Linked DNA regions of Arabidopsis thaliana. The protein of the gene in region 1 interacts with the protein of each later gene in a biochemical or structural test. Each region holds a gene or a part of one and is shown on either strand. Other genes may lie near its edges.

The links. The genes of interacting proteins can lie anywhere in the genome.
Region 2: the proteins of PEN3 (region 1) and AT5G47420 form a complex in vitro, tested with the Arabidopsis thaliana proteins (one study listed by BioGRID).
Region 3: the proteins of PEN3 (region 1) and MAPKKK19 form a complex in vitro, tested with the Arabidopsis thaliana proteins (one study listed by BioGRID).

Annotation. Positions count from the first base shown.
Region 1 is NC_003070.9:22,032,422-22,040,430, forward strand, and holds PEN3 (ABC-2 and Plant PDR ABC-type transporter family protein), read left to right. Parts: upstream 1-2,001; 5' UTR 2,002-2,239; coding exon 2,240-3,077; intron 3,078-3,159; coding exon 3,160-3,290; intron 3,291-3,566; coding exon 3,567-4,829; intron 4,830-4,915; coding exon 4,916-5,072; intron 5,073-5,151; coding exon 5,152-5,256; intron 5,257-5,335; coding exon 5,336-5,481; intron 5,482-5,565; coding exon 5,566-6,407; intron 6,408-6,495; coding exon 6,496-7,423; 3' UTR 7,424-7,705; downstream 7,706-8,009. Other genes in the region: AT1G59865 (uncharacterized protein), read right to left, coding at 1-25, 113-218, 579-876. UniProt on the Arabidopsis thaliana protein: Together with ABCG37, regulates auxin homeostasis and responses by playing a dual role in coumarin (e.g. esculin) and in the auxin precursor indole 3-butyric acid (IBA) efflux transport, thus influencing cotyledons, roots and root hairs development.
Region 2 is NC_003076.8:19,231,179-19,235,615, reverse strand, and holds AT5G47420 (Tryptophan RNA-binding attenuator protein-like protein), read right to left. Parts: upstream 2,833-4,437; 5' UTR 2,604-2,832; coding exon 2,556-2,603; intron 2,334-2,555; coding exon 2,274-2,333; intron 2,179-2,273; coding exon 2,139-2,178; intron 2,054-2,138; coding exon 1,875-2,053; intron 1,769-1,874; coding exon 1,730-1,768; intron 1,627-1,729; coding exon 1,537-1,626; intron 1,428-1,536; coding exon 1,367-1,427; intron 1,280-1,366; coding exon 1,155-1,279; intron 1,064-1,154; coding exon 972-1,063; intron 893-971; coding exon 778-892; 3' UTR 550-777; downstream 1-549. Other genes in the region: AT5G47400 (sphingomyelin phosphodiesterase), read right to left, coding at 3,030-3,641, 4,115-4,231.
Region 3 is NC_003076.8:26,770,721-26,774,528, forward strand, and holds MAPKKK19 (mitogen-activated protein kinase kinase kinase 19), read left to right. Parts: upstream 1-1,923; 5' UTR 1,924-2,005; coding exon 2,006-3,040; 3' UTR 3,041-3,259; downstream 3,260-3,808. Other genes in the region: AT5G67090 (Subtilisin-like serine endopeptidase family protein), read right to left, coding at 3,391-3,808.

The DNA.
Region 1 (8,009 bases):
TTGGCCAACACCAATGTGAACTAGTCTGGCCAATTTAGTTAATTGATTGATCATCATATTGTTTTTGGCATTTTTCAGAACGTGTAATAACAGTGAAGGAATTTTGAGGTACCTGCTCAACTGAATCAGATTCAGGAGGGTTTTAGGAGAGGTAATATGGAAGTAGCAATGCTTAAGAAAGATAAAGCTAGAGCTCTTGATGATCTGCTGAAAATCGACTAAGGAAGCCAATGACAAACTCAGACAGGAAAAAACTGTAAGAAGAAGAAGAAAATAAGAGAAAAGCAACAAAGCTATGGAAAGCTTAACTTTGGATTTGCAAGTTAAGTATTTTTAAAGCAAGGGAAGCATTGGAGAAGATCTTGTTGATATGTCAACCATAGCTTGAACATTGTGGAGCCCAAATGAAAAGGTATAAGTTGGCTGCAAAAGATACAAATGAAAACTGTGGAAAAATTCTTGAAGACTGAGATAAGTACACACTCAAAATGAGTTTTTCAATTCTAAGACTATGTGGGAACAGCGAGAACTTCAGTTGTGTGGAAAATTGGGAACTTGGCAAAGTGAATTTGTCTGACCTTCAGGAAAATGAGAAGAAGAAGAAGCATGTATGAAAAATACACTTAAGGAACTTGAGGAGAAGAGTGAGGATTTGTAGGAAAGAGTTGGAGAAGCGGAGACTGGAAGCATGAAAGTCGAGGCAAAGAAGGTTGCTTTAGAAAACAGAAAGCTCAGAGCAATGAAGGTTTTTTCTCTTGAAAAACTCGATAACTTGTCAAAGGTATATGAAAGCTTGGTGGATACAAGTGAAGCGTTTTTAAAGCAAGGCAAGGATTGGAGAAGGTCTTGTTGATATGTCAACCATAGCTTGAACATTGTGGAGCCCAAATTAAAAGTTATAAGTTGGCTGCAAAATATACAAGTGAAAAGTAAGGAAAAATTCTTGAAGACTGAGATAAGTAAACACCCAAAATGAGTTTGTCCATTCTAAGACTGTGTAGAGACAGCGAGAACTTCATTTGCGCGGAAAAGTCGGGAACTTGGCAAGGTAAATGAGAATAAACTGAAGGAACTTGAGGAGAAGAATGAGGATCTGTAGGAAAGAGTTAGAGAAGCAGAAACTGGAAGCATGAAATTTAAAGGAAGCTTGTTGGTCAACGAAGTCAAGCCAAAGAACATTGCTTTAGAAAACTCAGAGCAATGTAGGTTTGTTCTCTTGAAAAAATCGATGAGTCGTCCTCAAAGGTAAATGAAAACTTGGAGTATAAACTGCAGACTGAAGAAGACCGAGAGCTTAATTGACAAAGAAACCAACCTATAGAGCATTACTAAAGAAGCTGAGAAGAGCTCAGGAAAATGAAATTTGCTGGCTGAAGGAATGAATTAGACATTGGTTAATACACAAAATGCAGAGCACTAATCAAAGATTAGTTGAGAAAATAGCCAAACGCAGAGTTTAAGAGGAAGTCAATGGAGTCTTCTTATCATAACAACATTGAGGAGTTGTCACTAAAACTTCTTATTCCGGGTATTTAAATGGCTTCTTCCTCCGCAACTTCTCACTTTCCAGAACACAAAGACTTATAAACAAACCATCCTTCACGTATGTGTTGAATTGAAATGTGAATGTGACTTCATCAACACAATGACTTCAAAACCCAACGACGGTCTTCCTTTCTTTTCTCACCAATAAAATGTAGAAAAGAAACAAAGTACACAAGAAAGACTTTTCATTTAACGATATCTCCACTAGTAGTAGCTATAACTAAATGGGGTCATCGTTATTGACTTTGAATAAGAAATGTTCAAACACTTCAATTATTACATAATATCTTTGCAATAAAATAACAAACGTTAAAGAGCCGTCGCATTATTAGCACAAAAAATATCTTTTGTAAATAAAAAAACAACGTAAAAGAGCCGTCACATTTGAATAATAAAACCCATCTTGCACATAAAAAACACGACTTTTTATTATTTTTGATTATTTCAACAAAGTATGAATAGTCAACATAAAGAAAAGTCCGCCTTGATGTTCCTTCCTCACTCCCTATTTATCCATTTTCTAATCCCACCCTCTTCTCTTCATTCATCATCTTCCTCCTCTCTCTCTTCTCTGTATCACCCAACTAAATCCTCACGGGATTAGATCCAAAGTCTCAAACTTTGATCCAAAAACACAAACTTTGTTCAAAAGACATAAACTTTGAGCCAAAGTCACAAGCTTTCTTGGTGAACGATGGATTACAATCCAAATCTTCCTCCTTTAGGAGGAGGTGGTGTTAGTATGAGAAGAAGCATAAGTCGAAGTGTAAGCAGAGCAAGTAGGAACATTGAAGATATCTTCTCATCTGGTTCAAGAAGAACACAATCAGTCAACGACGATGAAGAAGCTCTTAAATGGGCTGCCATTGAGAAGCTACCAACTTACAGTCGTCTCCGAACCACTCTCATGAACGCTGTAGTCGAAGACGATGTTTACGGTAACCAGCTCATGAGCAAGGAGGTTGATGTAACCAAGCTTGATGGTGAAGATCGTCAGAAGTTTATTGACATGGTTTTCAAAGTAGCTGAGCAAGATAATGAAAGGATCTTGACTAAGCTAAGAAACAGGATCGATAGAGTTGGTATCAAACTTCCAACTGTTGAAGTCAGGTACGAGCATTTGACGATTAAAGCTGATTGTTACACTGGTAATAGATCTCTTCCTACACTTTTGAATGTTGTGAGGAACATGGGAGAGTCTGCTTTAGGTATGATTGGTATTCAATTTGCTAAGAAAGCTCAGCTTACGATTCTTAAAGATATCTCTGGGGTTATTAAACCTGGAAGGATGACACTTTTGTTGGGTCCTCCTTCTTCTGGTAAGACCACTCTTTTGTTGGCTTTAGCTGGGAAACTTGATAAATCTCTACAAGTCAGTGGTGATATTACTTACAATGGTTACCAACTCGATGAGTTTGTTCCGAGAAAGACCTCTGCTTACATTAGTCAGAACGATCTTCATGTTGGTATCATGACTGTTAAGGAGACTCTTGACTTCTCTGCTAGGTGTCAAGGTGTTGGTACTCGTTATGGTAAGTAAAAGATTCAATCTTTAATCATATCTTTTTTTCAAGATTCAGTTTTGTTGAATGGTTTTGATTCTTGTTGTTGTAGATCTGTTGAATGAGCTTGCGAGGAGAGAAAAGGACGCTGGTATATTCCCGGAAGCCGATGTTGATCTCTTCATGAAAGCTTCTGCTGCTCAAGGTGTTAAGAACAGTCTCGTCACTGATTATACTCTCAAAGTGAGTCCAACTCTCGCCTTAACTTAGCTCATCTTGTTCTTTTTGTTTCAAGAAGAGTGTTTGTTACTAGGCAAGCAACTCATAAAATCGAATCGAACTAAATCGTTTTTTATAAACCGAAACTGAACCGGAATTTATTCATTAACCGTTTGGTTTCATTATTTTAGAATATTGATATAAGTTTTCATATTCTAAAAATGTTCTAGACAATCTTTTCTCATGTTCATAAAGTTTTGAGTCTTTTTTTGTATAATACTAACTTTGGCCGTGTAACAGATTTTGGGGCTTGACATTTGCAAAGACACAATAGTTGGAGATGACATGATGAGAGGTATATCTGGAGGTCAGAAGAAACGTGTCACAACTGGTGAGATGATTGTTGGACCTACTAAGACACTCTTCATGGACGAAATATCCACTGGTCTTGACAGTTCCACTACTTTCCAAATCGTCAAGTGTCTGCAACAAATCGTTCACCTCAATGAAGCCACGGTGCTCATGTCTCTCCTCCAGCCTGCTCCTGAGACTTTTGATTTATTCGATGATATCATCTTGGTGTCGGAAGGTCAGATCGTGTACCAAGGACCGAGAGACAACATTCTTGAGTTCTTTGAGAGCTTTGGGTTCAAGTGTCCTGAGAGAAAAGGAACAGCTGATTTCCTGCAAGAGGTTACTTCCAAGAAAGATCAAGAACAGTACTGGGTGAACCCGAACAGACCTTATCACTACATTCCGGTTTCAGAGTTTGCCAGTAGATACAAGAGTTTCCATGTTGGGACGAAGATGTCTAACGAACTTGCAGTACCGTTCGATAAGTCTCGCGGCCACAAAGCAGCTCTTGTGTTCGATAAGTACTCTGTCTCAAAGAGGGAGCTTCTCAAGAGCTGTTGGGACAAAGAGTGGCTGCTTATGCAGCGAAACGCGTTCTTCTATGTTTTCAAGACTGTCCAGATCGTCATCATTGCTGCAATCACGTCTACACTCTTCCTGAGAACCGAAATGAACACAAGAAACGAGGGTGATGCTAATCTCTACATAGGAGCATTGCTATTTGGAATGATCATCAACATGTTTAATGGGTTTGCGGAGATGGCTATGATGGTTTCAAGACTCCCTGTGTTCTACAAACAGAGGGATCTCTTGTTTTATCCATCCTGGACCTTCTCACTTCCCACTTTCTTGCTTGGGATTCCAAGCTCAATATTAGAATCGACGGCTTGGATGGTGGTGACTTATTACTCCATTGGTTTTGCACCTGACGCCAGCCGCTTCTTCAAGCAGTTTCTTCTGGTGTTTCTGATTCAACAAATGGCTGCATCCCTCTTTAGGTTGATTGCTTCTGTGTGCAGAACCATGATGATTGCTAATACTGGTGGTGCTCTCACTCTACTTCTTGTGTTCTTGCTCGGAGGCTTCCTTCTTCCGAAAGGCAAGATTCCTGACTGGTGGGGTTGGGCTTACTGGGTATCTCCTCTCACCTATGCTTTCAACGGTCTAGTAGTCAATGAAATGTTTGCTCCCAGATGGATGAACAAAATGGTAAGTGGCTTACTTCTTTATTCTGCATTTTACAAACAAATATCATAGTAAAGCCGCCTCTGAGTCATATTTTTTTCAAATTACAGGCTTCTTCTAACAGCACAATAAAGCTTGGAACTATGGTGCTTAATACTTGGGATGTCTACCATCAAAAGAACTGGTACTGGATTTCAGTTGGAGCCTTGCTTTGTTTCACAGCCCTCTTCAACATTCTATTCACCTTGGCACTTACCTATCTCAACCGTAAGTTCTCGTGTTGTATCACCCGTTTTACCAAATCTAAAAACAATAGACTACTAATAATGTACCTTTGAAACTACAGCTCTTGGGAAGAAGGCAGGTTTACTTCCAGAAGAAGAAAATGAAGACGCTGATCAGGGGAAAGATCCAATGCGTAGATCTTTGTCTACTGCAGATGGGAACAGAAGTAAGTAAACACATTTCTTAATCTGCTTAGATGTTTTGCTTTTCTTGTACTCTTGTCTCATTCTGCTCCCTGCTATCAGGAGGAGAGGTCGCAATGGGGAGAATGAGTAGGGACTCTGCGGCTGAAGCATCAGGTGGTGCAGGCAATAAGAAAGGAATGGTTCTTCCTTTCACTCCTTTAGCTATGTCCTTTGACGACGTCAAATACTTTGTTGACATGCCTGGGGTAAGTAACTATCTTCACTTAAAATCTTTACACTAAATTAAATATGAATTACTTAAACTAAATAGATATCTTTTGATGGTATAGGAAATGAGAGACCAAGGAGTTACAGAAACAAGACTCCAACTGCTTAAAGGTGTGACTGGTGCATTTAGGCCAGGAGTTTTGACTGCGCTTATGGGAGTGAGTGGTGCCGGTAAGACTACGCTTATGGACGTTTTGGCCGGAAGGAAAACAGGTGGATACATTGAAGGAGATGTGAGAATATCAGGATTCCCAAAGGTTCAAGAAACATTTGCTAGAATCTCAGGATATTGTGAGCAGACCGATATTCACTCCCCGCAAGTAACAGTCAGAGAATCTCTGATTTTCTCTGCTTTCCTTCGTCTTCCTAAAGAAGTCGGCAAAGATGAAAAAATGATGTTTGTGGATCAAGTGATGGAATTGGTAGAGCTGGACAGTCTTAGGGACTCCATTGTTGGTTTACCGGGTGTCACGGGGCTTTCCACGGAGCAGAGAAAGAGACTGACAATCGCGGTGGAGCTTGTAGCCAACCCTTCCATCATCTTTATGGATGAGCCAACTTCAGGGCTAGACGCTAGAGCAGCGGCTATTGTGATGAGGGCGGTAAGGAACACAGTGGACACTGGAAGAACCGTGGTCTGCACCATTCATCAGCCTAGCATTGATATCTTTGAAGCATTTGATGAATTGATGCTGATGAAGAGAGGAGGACAAGTGATTTACGCGGGTCCATTGGGTCAAAACTCTCACAAGGTGGTTGAGTACTTTGAATCTTTCCCCGGAGTGTCCAAGATTCCAGAAAAGTATAACCCGGCCACTTGGATGCTCGAAGCTAGCTCACTCGCCGCTGAGCTAAAGCTTAGTGTTGACTTTGCTGAGTTATACAATCAATCAGCATTGCACCAGTAAGTTTAAGTTCCTTCTTTTCCATGGCTCATTGCATCTGATTGATTGTTTAAGTAATAGTACTAATGAATACATAACAAAATGCAGGCGAAACAAAGCGTTGGTAAAAGAACTAAGTGTACCACCAGCAGGAGCATCAGATCTTTACTTTGCTACACAATTCTCACAAAACACATGGGGACAGTTCAAATCATGCTTATGGAAACAATGGTGGACGTATTGGAGATCTCCAGACTACAATCTTGTCCGTTTCATCTTCACATTGGCAACATCTCTCTTGATTGGTACAGTCTTCTGGCAAATCGGAGGTAACAGGTCGAACGCAGGGGATCTAACAATGGTGATAGGAGCATTGTATGCCGCGATTATCTTCGTGGGAATCAACAACTGTTCAACAGTACAACCGATGGTTGCAGTGGAAAGAACAGTGTTCTACAGAGAAAGAGCAGCAGGAATGTACTCAGCCATGCCATATGCCATCTCTCAAGTCACTTGTGAGCTTCCCTATGTCCTTATTCAAACCGTTTACTACTCACTCATCGTCTACGCCATGGTTGGTTTCGAATGGAAAGCCGAAAAGTTCTTCTGGTTCGTCTTCGTTAGCTACTTCTCATTCCTCTACTGGACTTACTACGGCATGATGACTGTTTCCCTCACACCAAACCAACAAGTCGCTTCGATTTTCGCCTCAGCGTTTTACGGTATTTTCAACCTCTTCTCTGGTTTCTTCATTCCAAGACCCAAAATCCCAAAATGGTGGATTTGGTACTACTGGATCTGCCCTGTTGCATGGACCGTGTATGGATTGATAGTGTCGCAGTACGGTGATGTGGAGACACGTATCCAAGTCCTTGGTGGTGCTCCTGACTTAACCGTCAAGCAATACATTGAGGACCATTATGGTTTCCAATCTGACTTTATGGGACCAGTGGCGGCTGTACTCATCGCTTTCACCGTCTTCTTCGCCTTCATCTTCGCCTTCTGCATCAGAACTCTCAACTTCCAGACCAGATAAAACCATCTCTCAAACAACAAAGTCTCTTTCTTTTTTTGTATCCTCTGTGTTGTTTATATGCACTATAAGCTTTGTATGTTCTAAATATGTATTGTAGTGTCATAACGAAATTTTTTTGAATATTTTTATTTATTGTCTTATAGATGATGACGAATCGGAATCATGTAATATAATTCCACTTTTTTTTGTGTTTATATCCACAAATCCCTCAAAGTCCATTTTTGTTTGTTTCTTGAGACTTTTTATTTTACGATACTTCCAATAAGAGGAAGAAGACAGAAAAAAAGTGTGATCATATCCATTATCAAAGAAGACAAAATCAATGGAGGATAAGTTAATGTTCTTCATGATTAAATCTTGATAATTGTATAACATGGTTCTGTAAAAATTATCACAACACAACACCAATATCATAAAGTTTAATGAGAAATCTCAATAAATCAGTTTTTCTAAATATAGAAAAGTCTATCTTACAACGACAAAACGATTTTGAATTTTGGATTAAATCACCTAAAATTTCCTTAAATCCTACCAAAAGTCCTCCCAATCAAATTTCCATTTAATCATACCCAAATGTTTAGGCCAA
Region 2 (4,437 bases), on another chromosome or scaffold:
TTGTTTTGACGACGATTCATATCAAATTTATTCTTGTTGGTCTAGCTTCACTGATTTGAGAGATCTTATGTGCGAATCGTAAACATGTTTAAGAATGGTTGTAGTCACTTCTTATAACGTAAATGTATTCATCGTATCGTAAGATCCGTATCCATGAGTAATTCGAATAGTTTAAAAAGTAAACGGAAAAAACGGAGTATTGTATATTGTTGAAATTCGTGTGTTAACACCTATGACATTTCGCTGTTTTCAAAATTGTGAATTTTTGCTTGAGCATGTTTACTGTTTTTGACAGTTCAATGTTTTTGGAAAACTATTAACTCCTGCTATAATCCATTTTCTGAAAATTAGTCCATGATATCATTGAGACATTCTCTTGAGTCTTGACTATATGATCCATTGGTAACGAATTAATCCAGATTTTTTTTTTTGAATTAATCCAATTTCTTAACCATCCGATGAAAATTAATCAATAATATCATTAGACATTAATTATTTAACAAAACAAAAAATCAAATTAATTAATTTAAATTGATGTGTGATTTAAGTAAAGAATCCAATTTTTGTTCAACTCGGTATCTACGTTTTCACTTTTCAATATATAGGAGCAATATCAATATAACACAAGTGCCTAAACTCACTAGTAAACGAAAAGAAAATGGTTTGAGATGTGTCTAATTCATCTTCACTCTATCCATCCAAAGTCCAAACCCGAGATAATTTGAACAATTACAACGTTAGTTTGTTGGTCGGATAATTCTTTCTATCTCTCTGCTTTCAAACTTCGGTTAAGATCAACGATGACAAAATCACAGCGTATGCTAGGAACGCAAATATAGCTATCTGTATCAGCAATTTTGGATTCTCTCTCATGTTTGGCGACGTTACCGACCTGTCACAGAAAAACCATTCACACTTTATATAAACATATTTGCAACATAAATGGAGATTTGGATTGTTGGTTGCTTTACCTTGCAATACGCTGCGAGAGCCGATGAAACGGTAAGCTTTGAATGAAGACAATGCCAGGCCCCGTTAGAGTCGCCATTACTACGTTATCACCCTTTTGAATGTTGAAAGATTAAAACAGTTGAGAAACAAAACAAAAACCTGAATCTTCTTCTCATTGAAACAAAGTATATGTGAAAATGTACCCCGAATAGTGCTCGTCTAAAAGGAGCATTGTTTTTGATTCGGACATCGATAGAGGGTGTGAGAGCAGCAATACAGGAAACGTCAATGGAGAAAACTTCTCCTACCTCCAGAACTTTTTGTACAACTAACATGTTTGGGATGTTAAATGTCAGTTTTATTGAAGGGGATGAGGCCTCAACGGAAACAGCATTTCATTGGGATAAAATCTCACCAGAGCCACCTGCGAGGATGAAAGCAAGACCTTGTCCAGATAGGCGTTGTCTCAGAAATCCCTGCAACAGCAATTTGTGAGTAGAAGCCAGACAACGGGTTGCAGAATTTTGTTAAGAATAATAATTGCATCAGAAACCAAATCAACGTATTTTCCTTCTTAGTTCTTACCTCTGCACCAGCGGCAACAATGTTTCTTGCTCTCTGGTCAACGGAGTTGACAACCTTCACATCATGGACAGAACAAAGGAATGCATCTGGCTACAGAAAGTGAAGAAAAGGTCAGGCGACTCTGTAAGAGCTTGATCTGAGTGAAGAAGAAGCTGATAGCTAAGTGTTCAAAATCTAGGAAAAAAGACTCTACCTGGCATAAGATCTCACCTCCAAACATTGCCAAATCAATCTACATGGAAAACAAAGATCACAAAAACAACAAGGAATCAGGCGGTATACATTAAGGGTGAAATGGAAGATGATTATGCCAACATGGACAAGCTAAAATCACTAACCGGGAGAATCCTAGCCAAATAAGGTGCAGCAATACCAACAAACCCGTCGTTTTGCCCAGTATTCCGAAGAACAACACTGCTTACACTCTTGCCCAAAATCCACTGCAGAACTCCAACTTCTTGTTCAGGAGTGTATGTATTTTCCATCTCGATGGAGCCAGACATGTAGCACATGGAAGCTACATCACCATAACACAAAATTAGTTGAAACTTGAAACCATTATACAAAACTGAGTAGAGAAGCGAGTTATTCAGTGGAAGTACCAGGCTTAGCAATGACTTTCTCCTCTGACTTTAACATTATCTGCCAACATACGAGCAATGGTTAGAGAAGTTAAAATTATATGGCATATAACCCACAAATACGAAGATCACGCTATATTAAGAAAGCAAATGTACCTGAACAACTTGGGATTCACCACCCAAAATCTGGAACGGTGTAATAGTATCTTGTTGACTCTGCATCAAATGGCCACTTATTAGACAACACTAGAACAATGTCATGATCTAAAATCCCTAATTGGCCCGATTATGCGTTCTCCCAGCTAAGTTAAACTAATCAAAGATGGAATTTCTCTAAATCCTACTTACAATGAACCTCAAATTTAGTCAAATTGCAACTAAGAAGAACACGACCTCATCATTTTGAAAGCGAAATGATCAAAGAGAGAAGAAGCACACCTGGTAGACATAAGGCTGAAATGGAGTTGAAAAAAACGGAGCGGCCATAGTGGTGAAGACCACAGAGAAGATCTGTAACCAAAACCTTCTGAGGAGCTTTAACAAATTCGCGACAGATCTAAGAACACAGAAGAATTCTCCGGTCAATTTCGAACGATCAGATCACAAAGCAAGTGGCAGAAATTCGAAATTTGGTGTTCGGAATTGTGATAGTCAGCGACGAACGACCGATGAATTTTGCTGATGGGTGGATCTTATTGGCAGATGACACGTGGAGACTGATTACGTGGACCATTCTCATTGGTTGTAACAAGTAAAGACACGCTTCAATTTGTAATGCGAACATGTAAATTACCAAAAAACTCAGTCCCTGTTTCGTAAATAAGCTTTCCAATTCCTATCAAACGCTCTACGCGAGTTAGAGTGTCTATTTCCTTTTACTTCTTCAACTTTTAACACATTTTGGACACCCATCTACCAAATCATCCTTGTGACTACCCTTTTGACTACAAGAAACAGGACATAGAGAAATAAAAGCATCAGAAACTTTTTTGAAGCCATAACCCGAAGATTGACTCGAATCCCGAATCTTCTCATCAGCTGCAACACTGTGCCACATACCATCACCATCCCTCGCAACAGCATCTTCGCAGCATCTCCAGGTCCTGCAACGTTTCCCACATCTTCCCCTGATACATCTACATATGATACTGACTCTGAATTCTCTTTCTTGTCGTTGCTCGTCTCAGATTTGTTCAGCCCGAGGCGTTCATTGAGCCAAATAGACATGTTGATTAGCAGTTTAGCCATCAATGCAACCTCGTCTTCTGACACCGGACGGGTCATCCAGTCCCCTTTGTACTTCACACCGCCTGCTGTTTGGTTACCAGCACCACGTGGCTTGAAGAGCTCGTCACGGTTTTTCTGAGGATGGTCCGGCTCTAGGAAAAAAGCGATTGGTTTTACGACATGCCCGCCAAAGAAGTTGGAAACCGCTGATTTTAGTGAATCTACACACTTAAGGGCCTCTGTGAGGTTTTTATCGGATACAGTTTGCAGTTCGGCTTCTGCCCGCAGTATGAATAGCTGCAAATGCAAAGAACAAACGCCTTCAGCAAAGTAAAACAGGTTTTAAGCTCCACTCCCCCCCTATGAGCTAAAGGATTCAAGAGTCGTATAAACTAAAGTAGAGTATCGGAAACAAGAAAACATGCGATACAACTAGGTTACTGAAAAACAAATGTAGGAGAACTAGTTCTCAAAGTATATTTCCGTGAACAATTTCTCAAAAAACAAATTCCCAAGTTAATAGCTCACAACATTGCCGATGACTGCGTACTCATCTAATTGTCAAGTAACAAATTCTCCTGTTAATATAGATAGAAGGCTACAAACAACAAACAAGTAAATCTGAAGGTTTATCTATATATTTGTCAACTAGATCATTCCATAATAGAGCTATTTTAAGTACATTTGAAGATATCATCCTACAAAGATTATCTTCCATTTTTTTATTCCTAACTTATCACTACAGTAGGTTATAAAAGGAAGACATTAACCTGAAGCAGTTGTTGTCCGCCATCTTCACCATCACTAAAGAGTTTCAAGTCTTTGTTCCAGTTTTCATGCAAGTATGAGCCATCAGCGTTGCTCTCACACAACCCATCTTCCCAATCCTGAAGTTCCACAAGCAGTTAAACATGATTTTTCAGTATAGAGTTTGAGTACTTATGTGACTTATGTGAAAAAAAGATTGATTTTACAGTCTTTTGTTAAACTTCCAAGGGTGTTATGATGAAAAAGCTAAATAAGTATGAAGACAAAGGATGGCGGATACATAAGAGTAAAATCACTGGAAAAGCGTTCTATGACCGGAGAACAG
Region 3 (3,808 bases), on another chromosome or scaffold:
CTTCCTTCAACTTGTCTTCGTCTCGATATTTGTTAGGCTCCGTTACAACGTCAATTATCTTTCTTTTTCTTATTACACAAATATCACAGAGAATACAGTAATTATATTTTGAATATAGTATAAATTGTTTACGTACTGAAATAGAATAAAAATCAGAGCCGCCGCAACTTGCGAAAGTCTGTTGGGGTCGAATGACTTCAGTGCGAAGCACCCCTTCCACTCCCGCGCTTTTCTTGGCCATTTTAAAAATGAAAATATCAAACTCAATATCAATTTAAAAAATTTAAAATTTAAAATTTAAATTGATTTAATGAAGTCATGCCCATAGGGATCCAGACTTGAGCAGGCAAGTTGGCCATGAAGTAAACTACATAAGAGCACTATAATAATAGATATATGTGATAAATCAAATAAGAAAAATGATTGGAGAGTTGTCTGATAAAGTTCTCTTTTATTTTCTCCTTTTCTTTTGTTGAAGCATCGAAAACAGTTGCGTCTATTGGGAAATGGTAAATTTATAACATTAAAGTAAAACTTAGAGCTCACATGCCAAAGTTTGTGTACTAAATTTCTGTTGTATACAAAATGTTATAATCAATAGTCGTAAGCAAACATCTAAATAGAGTCTAAACTGTATTTTTCAACTACTTTCTAAATTAACTTTGTTTACTTAGTTCTATTGGTTAGAGTTGTGATTTTATCGGACATAGTTGTAAGCTTATAACACACATATCTTTAATTAGTCGTATTATTCGAAAGCATATTAGTTTTCTGCTTATCGCAGTTGGTGCCCTAATAAGAGGTCGCTAATTAGTTTACTTTAGAGCTAACTATTCTAATTAGTAAACGATAATTGTGGAGGATAACGGCGGAAAATATCAAAAAATAAAAAAATATATTAAAGCGTTTACAACGGAGAAGGATTTGATTCTTGGGTTGGTCAAGAAAAAAAAAAATTGCAACTCCAACTTGCTTGGTATGGTTTTATATTATTAATGGTCCAAAGAATATCCACATATCTACTTCATTATTAAAAAAAATAAAACTAATACTGATCTCCATAAAATAATGTAAGAAACATGTTATGTGTATATATTATGAGTTCAGGACGTAATTAGAGAATTACTAATAGTGTGATTATAATTAGGGACAGCTACGAAGGGGTGGCATATGCGAGAGGATGATTCTATTCCATGCCTATTCACACGACATATGCGAAGGAAGAGAGTCCAGAGCATAGGCCAAGAAAAGAATATTATCTCTATACAATCTAAGTTATATTTTGTTGTTAATTACAGCTACAATCGGAAATATATGAATACCAAAAAATTACGGTAAACTTCATGTATACACATGCATATGTTATAGTGTTTGTTTCTAATAGTGATTGTTTCATTGCAATCTTTTTTTGTTACTTAAAAAAATCTACAGTACGTTTTCAAGTATTTTGAATAAATCATATCACGCTTGTTTTGAAACATAAATGAGTTACATAATTAAACTTGATTCAACGCAAATTCAATAGAAACTGACTACTCTTAGCAACAATATAACGATCATGATCTCATTGAATATCAAGCATGTTACTAATTTTACTACCGGTCAAAAATTAATATATACCTCGTAAGTGATAATATTAAAGTTATTTATACAAAACAATAGTCGTGCTACAATATTTATTTATCCAATATAATAACGAAAATATCACGTAGCTTAAAATTTCATTTTGGTTTAACAGCTCAACAAAGAAAAACCTCCTCTCGTCACGTGCATTAATTACTCCCAAAATTCAGTCTTTCTACATTTAATTATATTATTTTAAAAAATAAAAATCGTAACCTCATTTTTTTTGTTTAATAATACCAAAAAAAATCAGTATAAATTGAGGAACTCGCACCATTAACCGTCACAAGCTTTCATGCTCTGTTTCATGTTTTCTCTCTACACGCTTAAATATTCAATCTTTTAATCAAATCTGATTCAACCGTGTCGTAGATTTGCTTCAATGGAGTGGATTCGAGGAGAAACTATCGGATACGGAACTTTTTCTACAGTAAGTCTAGCGACGCGGTCTAATAACGATTCCGGCGAGTTTCCTCCGTTAATGGCTGTGAAATCTGCAGACTCATACGGCGCTGCTTCTCTGGCAAACGAGAAATCAGTTCTAGATAATCTCGGAGACGATTGCAACGAGATCGTACGGTGTTTCGGCGAGGATCGGACGGTCGAAAACGGTGAAGAGATGCATAATTTGTTCTTGGAATACGCTTCTAGAGGAAGCTTAGAGAGTTATCTTAAGAAATTAGCCGGTGAAGGTGTACCGGAATCCACCGTGCGTCGCCACACAGGATCGGTGCTTAGAGGTCTACGACACATCCACGCTAACGGATTCGCTCACTGTGATTTAAAACTCGGGAATATTCTGTTGTTCGGTGACGGCGCCGTTAAGATTGCGGATTTTGGATTGGCGAAGAGAATTGGGGATTTAACGGCGTTAAATTACGGTGTGCAGATTAGAGGTACGCCGTTGTACATGGCGCCGGAATCTGTTAACGATAACGAGTACGGATCAGAAGGTGACGTGTGGGCTTTAGGATGCGTAGTAGTTGAGATGTTTAGTGGTAAAACGGCATGGAGTTTAAAAGAAGGGTCGAACTTCATGTCGTTGTTGTTACGCATCGGTGTTGGTGACGAGGTTCCGATGATTCCCGAGGAGTTGTCGGAACAAGGAAGAGATTTTTTGTCAAAGTGTTTCGTTAAAGATCCCAAAAAGAGATGGACGGCTGAGATGCTTCTAAACCATCCATTTGTAACCGTCGATGTTGATCACGACGTTTTAGTCAAAGAAGAAGATTTCGTTGTTAATATGAAAACAGAGGACGTCTCGACATCGCCGAGATGCCCATTCGAATTTCCCGATTGGGTTTCGGTTTCTTCCGGTTCACAAACGATCGATTCGCCGGATGAGAGAGTTGCTAGTTTGGTGACTGATATGATCCCTGATTGGTCTGTTACCAATAGCTGGGTCACCGTACGGTGACGATAGTGATTAAAAAACAGGGGACAAAAACAGAGTTGCAGAGAAAGACTAGAGCTTTTTTTTAATTCCTAGTCAGATCCAACAATTCTAATTTAATTCGTTGTATAAATATTTCTTATTAGAAATTGACTATTTATTTATATGTAAATACCAGTTTTGTATTCATGATCTCAAATCTTGATTCTCTTTAGTACTATATGGAAATTGTATTCATGACTCATGAGCCCATTATCTCGATTATCTTTCTCCATGAATGTGAATAAAGATCGTATATTCAGACATAATCACACGGAATAAGAGAATAAGTTTAACCAAAGAAGAAAAAAAACAAATCTTTTGCAAAGTAAAGATCAAGACTCTTGGACAAGGCTCGTGGCCACCACAGAACAGCTCACTTCAAACTCAGCTTCATCTTCATCAACCCAACTCACCAATCCATAAACCACGTTCTCTTGTAACCCTCTTGGACTCTCCAATCTCACAGTGTAGCTTAGCTTCTCGTTTTTCTCGCTGAACATTAGTTTCTTTGGCTCTACGACGACGTTTAGACCCTTCAAGCCTCTCACTCTCACGATGTAGCTTCTCTTTGCTTCTCCCACGTTTGTCAATGTCCTCTTAAAGATCTTGGGACTGCTTTGATCAGACGTGAAGTAGGCAATGATTGAAGGGTAATTGAGATATGGAGATGGCTTTTTACAAGCGTCGGAGATATTCGATCTCGTGATGATATTGATCAATTTTCTTGATTGTTTTGCCTCGTGACAAAGG